Schizosaccharomyces pombe: one gene and its partners. The protein of the gene in region 2 interacts with the protein of the main gene of each other region in a pairwise test. Each region holds a gene or a part of one and is shown on either strand. Other genes may lie near its edges.

The links.
Region 1: the proteins of lsm5 (region 2) and plp1 interact in a two-hybrid assay, tested with the Schizosaccharomyces pombe proteins (one large-scale study listed by BioGRID).
Region 3: the proteins of lsm5 (region 2) and rmn1 interact in a two-hybrid assay, tested with the Schizosaccharomyces pombe proteins (one large-scale study listed by BioGRID).

Annotation. Positions count from the first base shown.
Region 1 is NC_003424.3:3,947,276-3,950,861, forward strand, and holds plp1 (thioredoxin domain-containing protein), read right to left. Parts: upstream 1,672-3,586; coding exon 1,460-1,671; exon of another isoform or gene 1,416-1,459; coding exon 1,263-1,415; exon of another isoform or gene 1,219-1,262; coding exon 1,132-1,218; intron 1,084-1,131; coding exon 1,008-1,083; intron 967-1,007; coding exon 655-966; 3' UTR 610-654; downstream 1-609. Other genes in the region: ppx1 (exopolyphosphatase), read left to right, coding at 1-499; qtr2 (queuine tRNA-ribosyltransferase accessory subunit Qtrtd1/Qtr2), read right to left, coding at 1,782-2,646, 2,722-2,903; splicing-associated factor Saf2, read right to left, coding at 3,245-3,586. UniProt on the Schizosaccharomyces pombe protein: Inhibits early G-protein signaling events following pheromone stimulation. May help create heterodimerizable beta-tubulin by facilitating the efficient transfer of nascent beta-tubulin polypeptides to the folding apparatus.
Region 2 is NC_003423.3:3,299,442-3,302,662, forward strand, and holds lsm5 (U6 snRNP-associated protein Lsm5), read left to right. Parts: upstream 1-1,853; 5' UTR 1,854-1,862; coding exon 1,863-1,887; intron 1,888-1,988; coding exon 1,989-2,112; intron 2,113-2,158; coding exon 2,159-2,225; intron 2,226-2,273; coding exon 2,274-2,300; 3' UTR 2,301-2,694; downstream 2,695-3,221. Other genes in the region: RNA polymerase II nuclear import protein Rtp1, read right to left, coding at 1-1,385. UniProt on the Schizosaccharomyces pombe protein: Component of LSm protein complexes, which are involved in RNA processing and may function in a chaperone-like manner. Component of the cytoplasmic LSM1-LSM7 complex which is involved in mRNA degradation by activating the decapping step.
Region 3 is NC_003423.3:488,083-492,735, forward strand, and holds rmn1 (MTREC (exosome adaptor) complex RNA-binding subunit Rmn1), read left to right. Parts: upstream 1-1,773; 5' UTR 1,774-1,799; coding exon 1,800-1,829; exon of another isoform or gene 1,830-1,867; coding exon 1,868-1,905; exon of another isoform or gene 1,906-1,995; coding exon 1,996-3,538; intron 3,539-3,592; coding exon 3,593-3,751; 3' UTR 3,752-4,079; downstream 4,080-4,653. Other genes in the region: protein phosphatase regulator Nem2, read left to right, coding at 148-690; idh2 (isocitrate dehydrogenase (NAD+) subunit 2), read right to left, coding at 4,080-4,186, 4,237-4,653.

The DNA of each region.
Region 1 (3,586 bases), on a different chromosome or scaffold from region 2:
CTTATGCTCATTTGTGCCAAAAGATTGGGTTCGAGATGAGTTTTTTGATACTCTGAAAGAGAAAAAGAAGAGCTGTAAGGGTTTTTCTTTTGATGATCTACTACGCAGGGATTTAAAACAGTATTTTCCGGACGGAATAGTCGTCAATTATGCCAGTGTTGGAAAGGGATTAGATTGGATCAAGAAAAAACGTCTCGGATGGGAAGATGAATTGAAAAGTTTTGCCGAAGTGCAAAATTCTGATTTGGTAATTGTTGGGTTATCTCTGAGTAAGAACGACGAGTTTGGTCGTCAATTGATTTTATACAAGCGTACTGAAAGGGGAGCTGGTCTTGCCGATTCTTTCTTAAAACTTAGCAAACAAAATTTAGGATTAGAAATTATTGAAGAGAAAGATAATGGCGACCTCAGTATGTGGAATCAAAGAAATTCCGCTGCTAGCAGAAAGAAAGTAGTTCCCTTACTTATGGACTCAGTTAAACAAGTCGCTTCAAAATAGTTACTGCTTTAGACTCCATTGTGATTTCTGTTCTGTACATTTTACGATAGCTACACTCATCAGTAGGCTTATGATAGATTTTAAATTTTTTTAAAAGGATATATATTATACATCACATTGATCTAAATTTCTTACTTTGTAATCCCAAGATCCTTTTATTCAAAAAAATCACTGTCATCTGATTGATTATTTTGTAGTTCATCGTGGTAAATAGACTTGTTTGAAGAACTCTCTTCTTTTAATCGGTCGATTGCTGAACTCTTGAGCAACCGAAATTCTAGGAGTGAAGTTTCAAAATCATCTTTATTACCTAAATCAGCAAATCCGATAATCTTATCCACGAGCTGAGAATTTACGTAGCAAAGTACGGCTGGTAATACTTTGAGACCCAATTTGACTACCAAAAATGGAGCGTTGGCTGCTTCAATACGGATAAACTTAGTTTCCCAATGTACTTTGGCAATTTTCTGAGAATGTTAGCGTAAGCAATAAATGGAACTCCTCGTACCTCTAGATGAGAGTCTATAATTTTGCAACGTATAAAATCAGGGTGGTAAAAATGTATAACAACTTTTTTTGATGAACTAAAAAATAATTAGTTTAAAATAATCGAAGCTAATGTTTTGACATACAGCGTAAAATCCATAACTTCGCGCTCATTTTCTACAGTAAGAAACTGCATGTGTCCTTTTTCTTTTGCAGCTTCCACTCTAGCGAATCTGAACGGTTAAATTCTTAAAATCATTTTAAAGCTTTTTCTTACTCTTTTTTTAGCATCTCCAATCTCTGTTCTCGATAAGCAGTATCATCAAATTCATCCAACTGTGAAAAGAGCGCATCTTCCAATTCTGAATCACTTTCGGTTGCAGCTTGAGTAGCATACGTATCAGCGTAAAGATCAACTGTTGGGTCGTTACTAATGTCAACATTAGACATAATATGTACGCTACTGTAACCTACCTATTATGCAGTTCTGGTTCATTGTAATCCTGAGTATCCTCCTTTCTTTCAGTAACCTTCAAAGCTTCATACTCGTTGGCGATTTCCTTTTCCAAAGGAGATTTCATAGAAATCCAAGCAGGCTTGTTTTCTACAGGCTGAACGTTTGTCAAATCCATTTGATAACCACGTTTACGCGGCCCAAATCCATGGGATGCTGGAAAAGATGTCATATAAATTTCTTCAAATTTTCTAACATCTTCATCAAAGTTTCCCTCTTGTATGGAGGCGCGGATTCCTTGAAAAAAGGCAGTGAAGGCATAAACATTGTGTCTACAAATCGTTAGCTTTCTTTACCATGCTCTTTAATATAAACATACAGCTGTAAAAGTATCCAAGCAACTAGCTCTCTAGCCTGTAACAGATGCCTAACATAAGCGCGTTTGTATCTACGACATGTTTTGCAAACGCAGCCGGATTGCAATGGTTCCATGTCAGTAGCAAACCTTTCGTCCCACATATCCAAGCCAAGTTCAATTTTAGAATTCAACACATCTTTAGAAGGAGGCGGGAAAGAGAATGTAAGTGCAACACCAGCATCAGTAGCTTGTGTTATCATATCTGGAACAATAATGTCAATTCCTCTTTGAATGCATTTCAGAATTTCGAGTGGTGATTCAAATTTTTGAATACTCAGTCTTGGGAGACCAACCAAATCAGCTGGTAATGGATTGACATTGTTAGAAAATGCCAAGCCAGCAATGTTGTTAGCAAGTTGATTTTCTTGAAAAAACTGGAAAATAGGCGTAAGGTACTGAGTGTCCAGATCAGGAACAGGGAAAAATACTTTAGTAGTATTGAAAGCGTCCGTCGCTTTGAGTGCTAAAAGCAACTCAGTTGTCCAATTGACAGACCGTTCCACAATTTTTGGCTTCCTTTTGACACCAGGAGGACTAGTTGGGGTATCATTTAAAGGAATTACTAATTCAGGACAAAGCTTTAGGACAGCTTTAATATACAAGTCATTTGTCAGTTTCTTTGCACCACTTGCAGTAACGATATTAATATGACTTTGTCCTGCAGAAACAGATGGCAAAGGAGATGTTCTTCTTGGAGCAAGTAAAGTAGGTTGGACAGAGGGTGCTGCGATCCATTTTTTGATAGTTCCCTCATTAGTCAAGATTGGTGAGGCTTCCAGACGATCCAAGCTACAAACATATTAGTTAGAAATTCAAATTAAAAAAGATATGATAAAGCATTTGAGTCCTAAATTTAAACCTTACCAATCCTCCAACCCTACATAGAGAGCAGGAATATCGAATTCTTCAACATTGTCAGGTGTCAAATGAGGAACAGTTCCTCTGGAAGTAGGAAGGAAAAAGCAAGGAGTCTTCAGAACCTTGTTCTTCACCGTAACTGAAGATACGCGAGCCCCTGAAGGACTAGATAATGAAGAAATTGCCATCAATAAATCGCAAAATAAAGCTGCAAAAGTTTTGCTCTATTTACACATGTACGATATCAAAATAACGATGGTTCACTGTAGCACATTAAACGAATATTGCTATATGAATGTTTTTTAAATTTGAAAGATATTCAAACACAAAAGGTCGTCTAAACATTCGATTTATAATGTTGTAAAATAGCTTTGTTTGGATATCAGTAGTCTTACAAAACTGAAAGTTTTTAGTTAAGTAAAAAAAAAAATATCATTACATAAATTATAGTAAATTGTTTAGACTTTTTTTAAAGTTTTAAAGTAATAATAAAACATGCAAACAAGAAAGAAACAATGGAATAAAAACATTAATAACGGATAATTTTGCGACGGCGGAAGTCCTTTTCATCTGAAGCGATGTCATATAACGCTCTTCGTTTCATTTCTTTTTTCTCTTTTGTTCTTCGTTTCATTTGCTCCATCTCTTTCCTGGTATATCGCTTGTTTCTCCGTTCTGCCAGTAAACTTTGGCCATTGTGACTATTCAATGAAGAATTGATGTCAAAGTACTGTTCCATATGCTTATGTGCTTTGTTTTCTTCACTTCGCAACTCTGGTGAAGCCCATTTTGGCATAAACTTTCCAGATAGGCGATTGAACTGAACTTTCGCTGTGTAATCTAGGGGACTAGTCTGCTCTTCATCTTCTAA
Region 2 (3,221 bases):
TCGTTCTCTTCTTCAACTTCTCGGTTAGTAGTAATCTGGGATATTTCTGTAGAGGAATACTTATTTTGACTAGCCACTTCATTGATCAGATTAGTGCAGACAGACAGCATTACATTACTAGGAATTTCATCTGAATCAACATTAGACAGGGCATATTGAACAAGTTCGAGTAATTCCAAACGCTTGTCTGGTGGCTGCTGGACCCATATTTCTAACAAGTTAGGCAGGAACATTGCTAATTGTGATTTTGTCAGTCTCTCGCAAAATATACGAAGATGTTTTGCATTTGTTAAATTCCTTAACAGCGATTTGGTACCACAGACTGATATAATACGAAGCAAGATATCCTGAACTTTAGAACGTAAAGTTGTGTTCTCCTGTAAGTGCAAAAGACTTGGTACACAAGATTCACATATGCGAATTATATCATCGTTTTGAATGTAGACTAATACTTGAAGAACGTCCAATGCATTTTCAAATGGGGATAAATCGATGACTTTCGGTGCTTCGAGTATTTGGAGCTTTTTAAGAAGAAAAGAGGTAACAATATCACAATGTGTATTTGTTACAGCAATTATGAGTTGTGACGCTAATCGAGGTTGAGTGCTGAAAAGGCTCCAAACCTGAGGAAGAATACACGAAAAATATTTCTGTGGTGAGATATCCTTTGGAACAGATGAAATCAGATGAGCGGCCTGTCGTGCGCGTTCGATTGAATTTGGCTGTGCTTGCATATAAACTTTGAGAAATCCTTGCACGCCAGTTTCTCTACAAAGACAGGTAGTTAAATAATGTTTCAATTTATCTTGCAACCAGTTATCTACATTCGGTTGTAATAGCGATAAACAAGAAGAAATCATTTTAGATGGATCAACCATTTGTGGAGACATTATGCTCGTTACTTTTTCTTTCCATGAAGGGTCTAAAAATAAAGGCCTGGGTTCTTCAATGAGAGAACCTTGTTCATGGCAGTTCAACAAATATAAATGAAGCAACAATAAGTCGGCATAGTGAAGGTTAAGTGGACCTTGTAATAAACTTGGAGTTAACAATAAAGGAAGTAAAATATTGTAAATTTGGACCAGATTTTTTTTGGGGGTATAAATAGGTAATGCCTTAATTTTCGCTTGCGATAGCATTTCTTTGGGGAGTTGAGTATAAACACCAAGCAAAAATGTAAGATGAACAAAAAGCTGCAAACATCGTAGAGAGGTAACACTTAAGGGTTGGTCTGTATCCAACTTTGAGATTTCCTCTAGAAGATTGAGGAAGTAATTCAATAAATCACCACTTATATTATCCTTCAATTTTTCAATTACAGGACGAGAATCATTCTTTTGATTTAAAAGCTTCGCAAAATCTAATAACTTCTGATTTGCATCCATGCGGAATATTGCTTGTAAAGTTCACTTGCTAAGTAGTGAACGTTATAAGTAAGTGAAGGCAAAAAACCAACTCTTATACTTTCCGTACTAAGAAATAGCAATAGCAAATATTTAGAATATGAGAACCAGGTACGGAAACCTTAATTATTTAACGAACTTTGTGGCTAAAATATGTGGATAACTAATTCCTGATCGTAGCAATAAATACTTGGGGTAAGTTATAACTAGACAGCTTTAGCTTGGATTCATTCAAAGAAATGGATCGCTATTCGACAACTGTGTAATTTTGACAAACGACAAGACCAAAAAATAAGACCGAATAAGATGTCCACAGTTTTAATGAAACGATAACCTCTTATTTATAAAATCTTCAAGATTCCAATAAATGATATTCCCTTAACACTATGTGTTCAGGTAAAATGATAGCATGGTTCTTGTATAGTAGCAATTTATGTGAACTTGCAATCCACCTCCACCATGTCGATGACAATTTTACCTTTAGGTATGTAGATTTATTAGTACATTCTAAATTAGTTTCATAATAAGAAAAGGGAAAAATTATTGATTTATGCCCTGGGTAAATCTGTTCATGCTAACAAGCAGAATTAATTGATAAATGCATTGGATCAAACTTATGGGTGATCATGAAAAGTGAACGCGAATTTGCGGGGACACTTGTTGGATTCGATGATTATGTGAATATTGTTCTAAAAGATGTTACAGAATAGTATGAAATATAATAACTTTAATTATCTTTGCTAATTTCTATGAAGTGATACTGTTACCGGCGTTACCGAAAAACACTCTGAAATGCTTTTGAACGGAAATGGGATGTGCATGGTATGTCAATGAAAATAATAAAGGAATTTTTGTACACTAACTATCTAGTTGATTCCTGGTGGAAAACCCGAATAAGTTGGTACTTGGCTATTTAACAGTCTTTTGAAGATGAAGGAAGAGTGATTTTTGTTATTATCAAACAAATGGAGATATATTGCACGCCAAATCTAGCTCATACTGTGTGCACTCCATATATGGTAAAATATCTAGACCCAAGTCTCACTTTTTACATTAATTGAACAACAAGCGTTGGTAAAGCCATGTCTTCGGATACGGTTAAATTTGATCGAGTTATTTAAAGAATTTGATTGCAAAAATAAGGTATTTTATAGGACTGGTTGCATGTTTCTGAAATGAGTGATTATTCAAAAATAAAGGCTTAATACTTCCATCCTCCATAATTTTTCCTATTAGTGATTGTATCTCAAATTATACTACCAAAATGAATTGTTATTTCAGATGATGTAAACTGTGTTAAAGTTAATTGTTTGAATGTAATCTGACTGTAGAAATTGGCATAAACGGGATATGCATAGCCTACGATGATAGCAATTTTTCTTCTAATTTGAAAGACAACATACTAAACATTGATTTGAGTAGCCTTTACAGGATCTTACTATTCAAGTTATCTCTTCCAGCCCATCTGGTTGAATCATACTGACTTTTTTTTGTTCATGTTGGCCAAAATGGGGATTTATTATGATTATACACTGGAAAAAGTATGAATATTTGTTGTTTATCATTAATATAAACTAAAGTGACTAACCTTGTTATTGTAAACTCAAAATTTTGAGAATTAGTATCTTCAGCAGTTTTATGAAGGAAACGAAAAAGTAAAATTAAAATGAAAACGAAGTTTAATACTTTGGATTTATATATCTCATCATTTATACATTTGGATTATTAAGAAATTTTTGAATCCTCTCTTCCCTTATCCCTAAATAGTTAGAGAAAAACGACAAAACTCAGCTAAAACCATTAAACTTTTTCGTTTTA
Region 3 (4,653 bases), 2.8 Mb from region 2:
GTGGTCTTCATAACGACTTCTTGTAATTGGTGTTGGATATTGTCCAATTATTGTTATCTCCAAAAAGCTTTCTTATATTCTGTTTTTCAAGTTCTTTATATCTTTTTATTCTTTTTCCTACGTATTGTTAAGAGTGAATAAAATGCCATGTCCTCTTATGTGCCCAACACCCTGTCCGTATATCACAACTTGTTAATTTTAGAGGCATCGTTTCGGAAAACATACCTACAGCTTCAAGTTCGTCGTCAAAAGTATATGGCTTTCTATGTCTCACTATTGGTGTGGAACTTTTACTTTGGCTATCGCGTCTTTTATCGCATCTCAAAATACTCGTTGATTGATTTGACTTACAAACTTTGTCTTTTATGCGGAATTGTTACACTTTTGCTCTTTTATTTTTCTGGATTGTATCGGACTACAATAGTATATCCATCACGTTATGTTCAACAAGTCAACAAAGCGATGAGGTTTTTTAACATTCGCCTTGTTATAACTCCTGTCCCGTGGTTCCAGGTGAGAAAGCCTTTGGATTGTGGTGTCCATCTTATATTATCAAGCAAACGATTTGACATATTGGTGATCGAAGGTTGGGAAGCTTTTCGTTCTTCATATTTTGCTTCAATACATAGAAAAAACAATAGCATACAGAGTAACGAGTCCTCTGAATCTCCTTCTTCTAAACAGAACTAGATTTACTTATACCCTTATCCTATTTATAAAGGATGCGATCGTTTATTTCCTTTTCAACGTTGTTAATGCTTTTCATGTTTATACTGTTCTAGTATTTGTCATTTTTCATAACGTAAATTTTGATTAAAATTTTCAGCTATTTTTTTTTTTGCTATCCGTTGTTGCTGGCGCCTTTCGCTATATTATTGATCAGTTATTGTCGTTATACTTTTATTACATACTTACCCGATTTGAATTTATTAGGATACTTTTAAGGACATTTCCTTTTATGTTGGGATATGAGATTGCTTTACAGACCCACTGAAATAGGATTTATCGTTGGATAATTAAAAAAAGGATGTTGATGATTCATTACACATCTTGATCATTTACTTGCCTCATCTTAATTGGAAGGGTTTAAATAAAGGCTTAATTGAAAGTTGCTGTCACTTAACTTCCTTATCTTGTTCTGTCAACTTAAACTATTATCTTTCATTCCCGACTTATAATCTTTCTTTTCTTTCTACATCACCTTTTTTTTTAAAAAATGGGTAAAAAGCGTTTTCGCATGTACATAAGCAAAACTTCTTCTCTTCTTATGTAGAGACTTCCTTTTTTTTTAATTTTCAACTTACTCATGCGGACTATACCGGACGTTCATTAGCTCTCTTGACGAGTTAGGTTTTCAAATAATTTAATATAAATGTAATCACTCCACCGTTAAAATTAACTATTTATAAGTGGTGCTAAAATATAAAAAAGTGCATATAGCTAACACGTTTACTCACTGTTGTGCTGACAATTTAATCAATGAAATAATTGGAGACAAGTGAACTCTTTCGAAACTCTCATAATCGTCAGAGTTTGACTTAAAATACATTGTATATTAGTAGTCTAAATACGAGTAATATTATGCAAACCTTCCTATTCCTTATCTAATGTCGACTACTCAGTTAAATTTTATCCCAGCCAATTGCCCTAGCTAAGACATTTGTTATTATTTTGGTATTATGTTTATTCTTTTTGAACTTTCTGGCTAATTGTTAAAGATTTTACCTTATGTGATCTATATTTTCTTACTGGCTCAACCATGCGTAACGCTCCAACAACCAGCACTTTGCTCCATCACAATGCCGTTGTTCTTAGAAGAACATGCTGAGGTAATTTTATTTTTAAGATGCCGAATTAACGCTTTTAGTATTTGAAAAGATATTTAGAACAGGCGTTGGAGCCAATGTATGTAATTTTTTTTGAGTTGCCAATTTGCGTGATTTTTTTTTTTACACGCTAAAAAATTGTTTATCAATATGCTAACGAAATGACTAGTTCTGATGCTGATGCAAGTGTTTTATCAGATTATGCTATGGCATTGTTAAGGCACGATTCTTCTGAAGAAGAAGTTCGCCAGTTATGCTACTCACAACTAGAAGATTTTTTGCGACAGGAGACAATTCCTTTTGTTGATAAAATTTTTGATGTTTTACGTGAAAAATCTTACTTGGAGGGTGCTTCAAATATGCCGTCAACCGGTATGGTGACTGAAGAAGTTTCAAGGTATTCGCCAACTTCATCAATGATCCCTGCCACCAACAGCATGGAAACCAATTTTAATAATTCTTTACCTGCTGTAGGAAAAACAAACACTTTTCCCTCTCAGGTGCCTAATATGTTTGGACCTCCGTTGTACCATCCAGCAGCCACAGCACCTTCTGAATTCATGCCCAGTATTCCTGGGTTTGGAAACTTACCAAATCCTGCAATGCCTCCCATACCATTCTTACCATTTAATCCTGCGGCGCAGCCTCCTTTCCCTCCCCCATTTAAGATGCGAGGTAAAAGAGGATTTGGCATGCGCCATGAGCATAATAGTGAACTTCGTAGGCATTCTCCTGGTAATCGAAGATTTAATCCATACAAAGCGTATCCCCAACCCCATCTGGGACATCGCTTCTCTCGTAACGCTGGCAATGATCCAACAAGTACTGCTTTAGAAGTGCGAAACATTCCGGAAGAGCATTTTAATGAGGAGAACATTAGGTCCTTTTTTTCAAAGTTCGGTGTATTGGAGAAAGTCGAATTAAATCCGACACATCATTCTTGTGTGTTAGAATTCACTTCCCATGAGGCTGCCAACAATGCTTGGTCCTCGCCTGAGCCCATATTTAACAATCGCTTTATTAAAATATTTTGGTATAATCCGTCAAAGGGATTTCACAATCGACCAAAGAAGTTTGCATCCCATAAATCTCCCACTACTTCCGATTCGTCGAATGTAGAGAGTTCTGAAGATGTCGATCCTGCTTCTTTGTTACAAAACGAAGAGTTTCATAAACTGATTGAAGAAAGGCAAAGGCAGCACGAAGAACGTTTAAAACGCATAAATGCTAATAAAAAGGCACTAGAAGAACTTAACCAAAAAAAGCGCGAGCTTGCACAGCAACAATTAAAAGAACAAGAGTTACTGATGCAAAAAATTAAGGAAACTGACCGTTCAGGAAACAAAAGACTCATGTTGTTAGAAACTCAGCATTCTCTTTTGAAGGCTGAGGCTGATTGCTTAGGGTTACCTGTGAGCAACGTTTCTGAAAGCCCAGCGGCATCTAATGGTTCTCATCATCCTTACGCTTCAGGACTTCCCCAGCGAGGTACCAACACATTTTTCCGTGGCAGAGGTCGCGGACGAGGTGATATGTTTGCGTCAATGTCCATCGATAATCGTCCAACTAAGCTTCGTGTAATAAATGTTTCTCCTGAAAAAAATGAAGCTTTGTTGCAATACTTATTCACTGTTGGAGGATATGAGGAAATTACTGAACCTTCAACTACTGAACGTCTTATCAGTTTTCAGAATAGAAATTCCGCTGAAAAGGTATGTAGCTGATTCTTTCTCTGACAGAAAAAATTTCAAGTTAACAAATTTTAGTTTTTTGGTGGAGTTCGGAACGTTGAAAAACTTCAAGAATTGGAGTTGGCGTGGGTGCCAAAAACAGCTGTTACAACTAATACTACATCCATGGAGACTGGCGAATCTAATACAAGCGACAACATGAACATAGAGGTAGAAGAAGGAAGATGGCGCTAGTTTATTTACTTTTACAAAAGTTTTTCAGAGAATGAATTAATGGGCTGCATTGTATGCGGCTGTCATAAAATATAAGCAACTAATTGATTAATCTTATAGAGTGCAATAAGCATTTCAAAAATGGAGATTTCATATTGAAATATTTGTAACTAACATTTCGATCAATTCGGTTTTTTGATACAAAAGAGTTAATGCTTCCGAATTACAACTCAAATCGTTACACAATTCATTAAAAGTGGTAACAAAAATCGGCTAGGAGAGAAAACTCATGATAAGGAAAGAAACATAAATTCAGTGTTCATAGCAAGAAGTAAACAAAATGGGCATGTTACTTCAGTTTAGAAATAATGGCATCGGTATATTGAACATTGTTTGACTTGCCGCCCAAATCCTTGGTGCGAGCATCGGGATTGTTTGCAAGGGTATCAAAGATAGCTAATGGTAATTAGTAAACAGACAAAATCTTAATTTAGTAAAACACATACCTGATTCGATGCGTTTGGCATAATCATTTAAATTCATGTGCTTCAACATCATTACAGAAGATAACAGTAAAGCAGTAGGGTTGGCTAAACCTTTTCCAGCAATATCAGGGGCAGTACCATGAACAGCTTCAAAGATGGAAGCTTGGTTGCCAATGTTTCCGGAAGGAGTCAAACCAAGACCGCCAATTAAACCAGCGCACATATCAGAAACAATATCACCGTATAAATTGGGCATAACCATAACTGTGTTGTTATAAGGGACAGGATCGGTGACAATCTTCAAGCAGGCGTTATCCAAGATTTCCTCCCTAAGCTCGATATCAGGATATTCAGGTGCAAGCTCCTTGGCGCATTCCAAAAATAAACCGTCAGCCATGCGCATAATGGTAGCCTTGTGGACTACGGTGATGTTGTTCT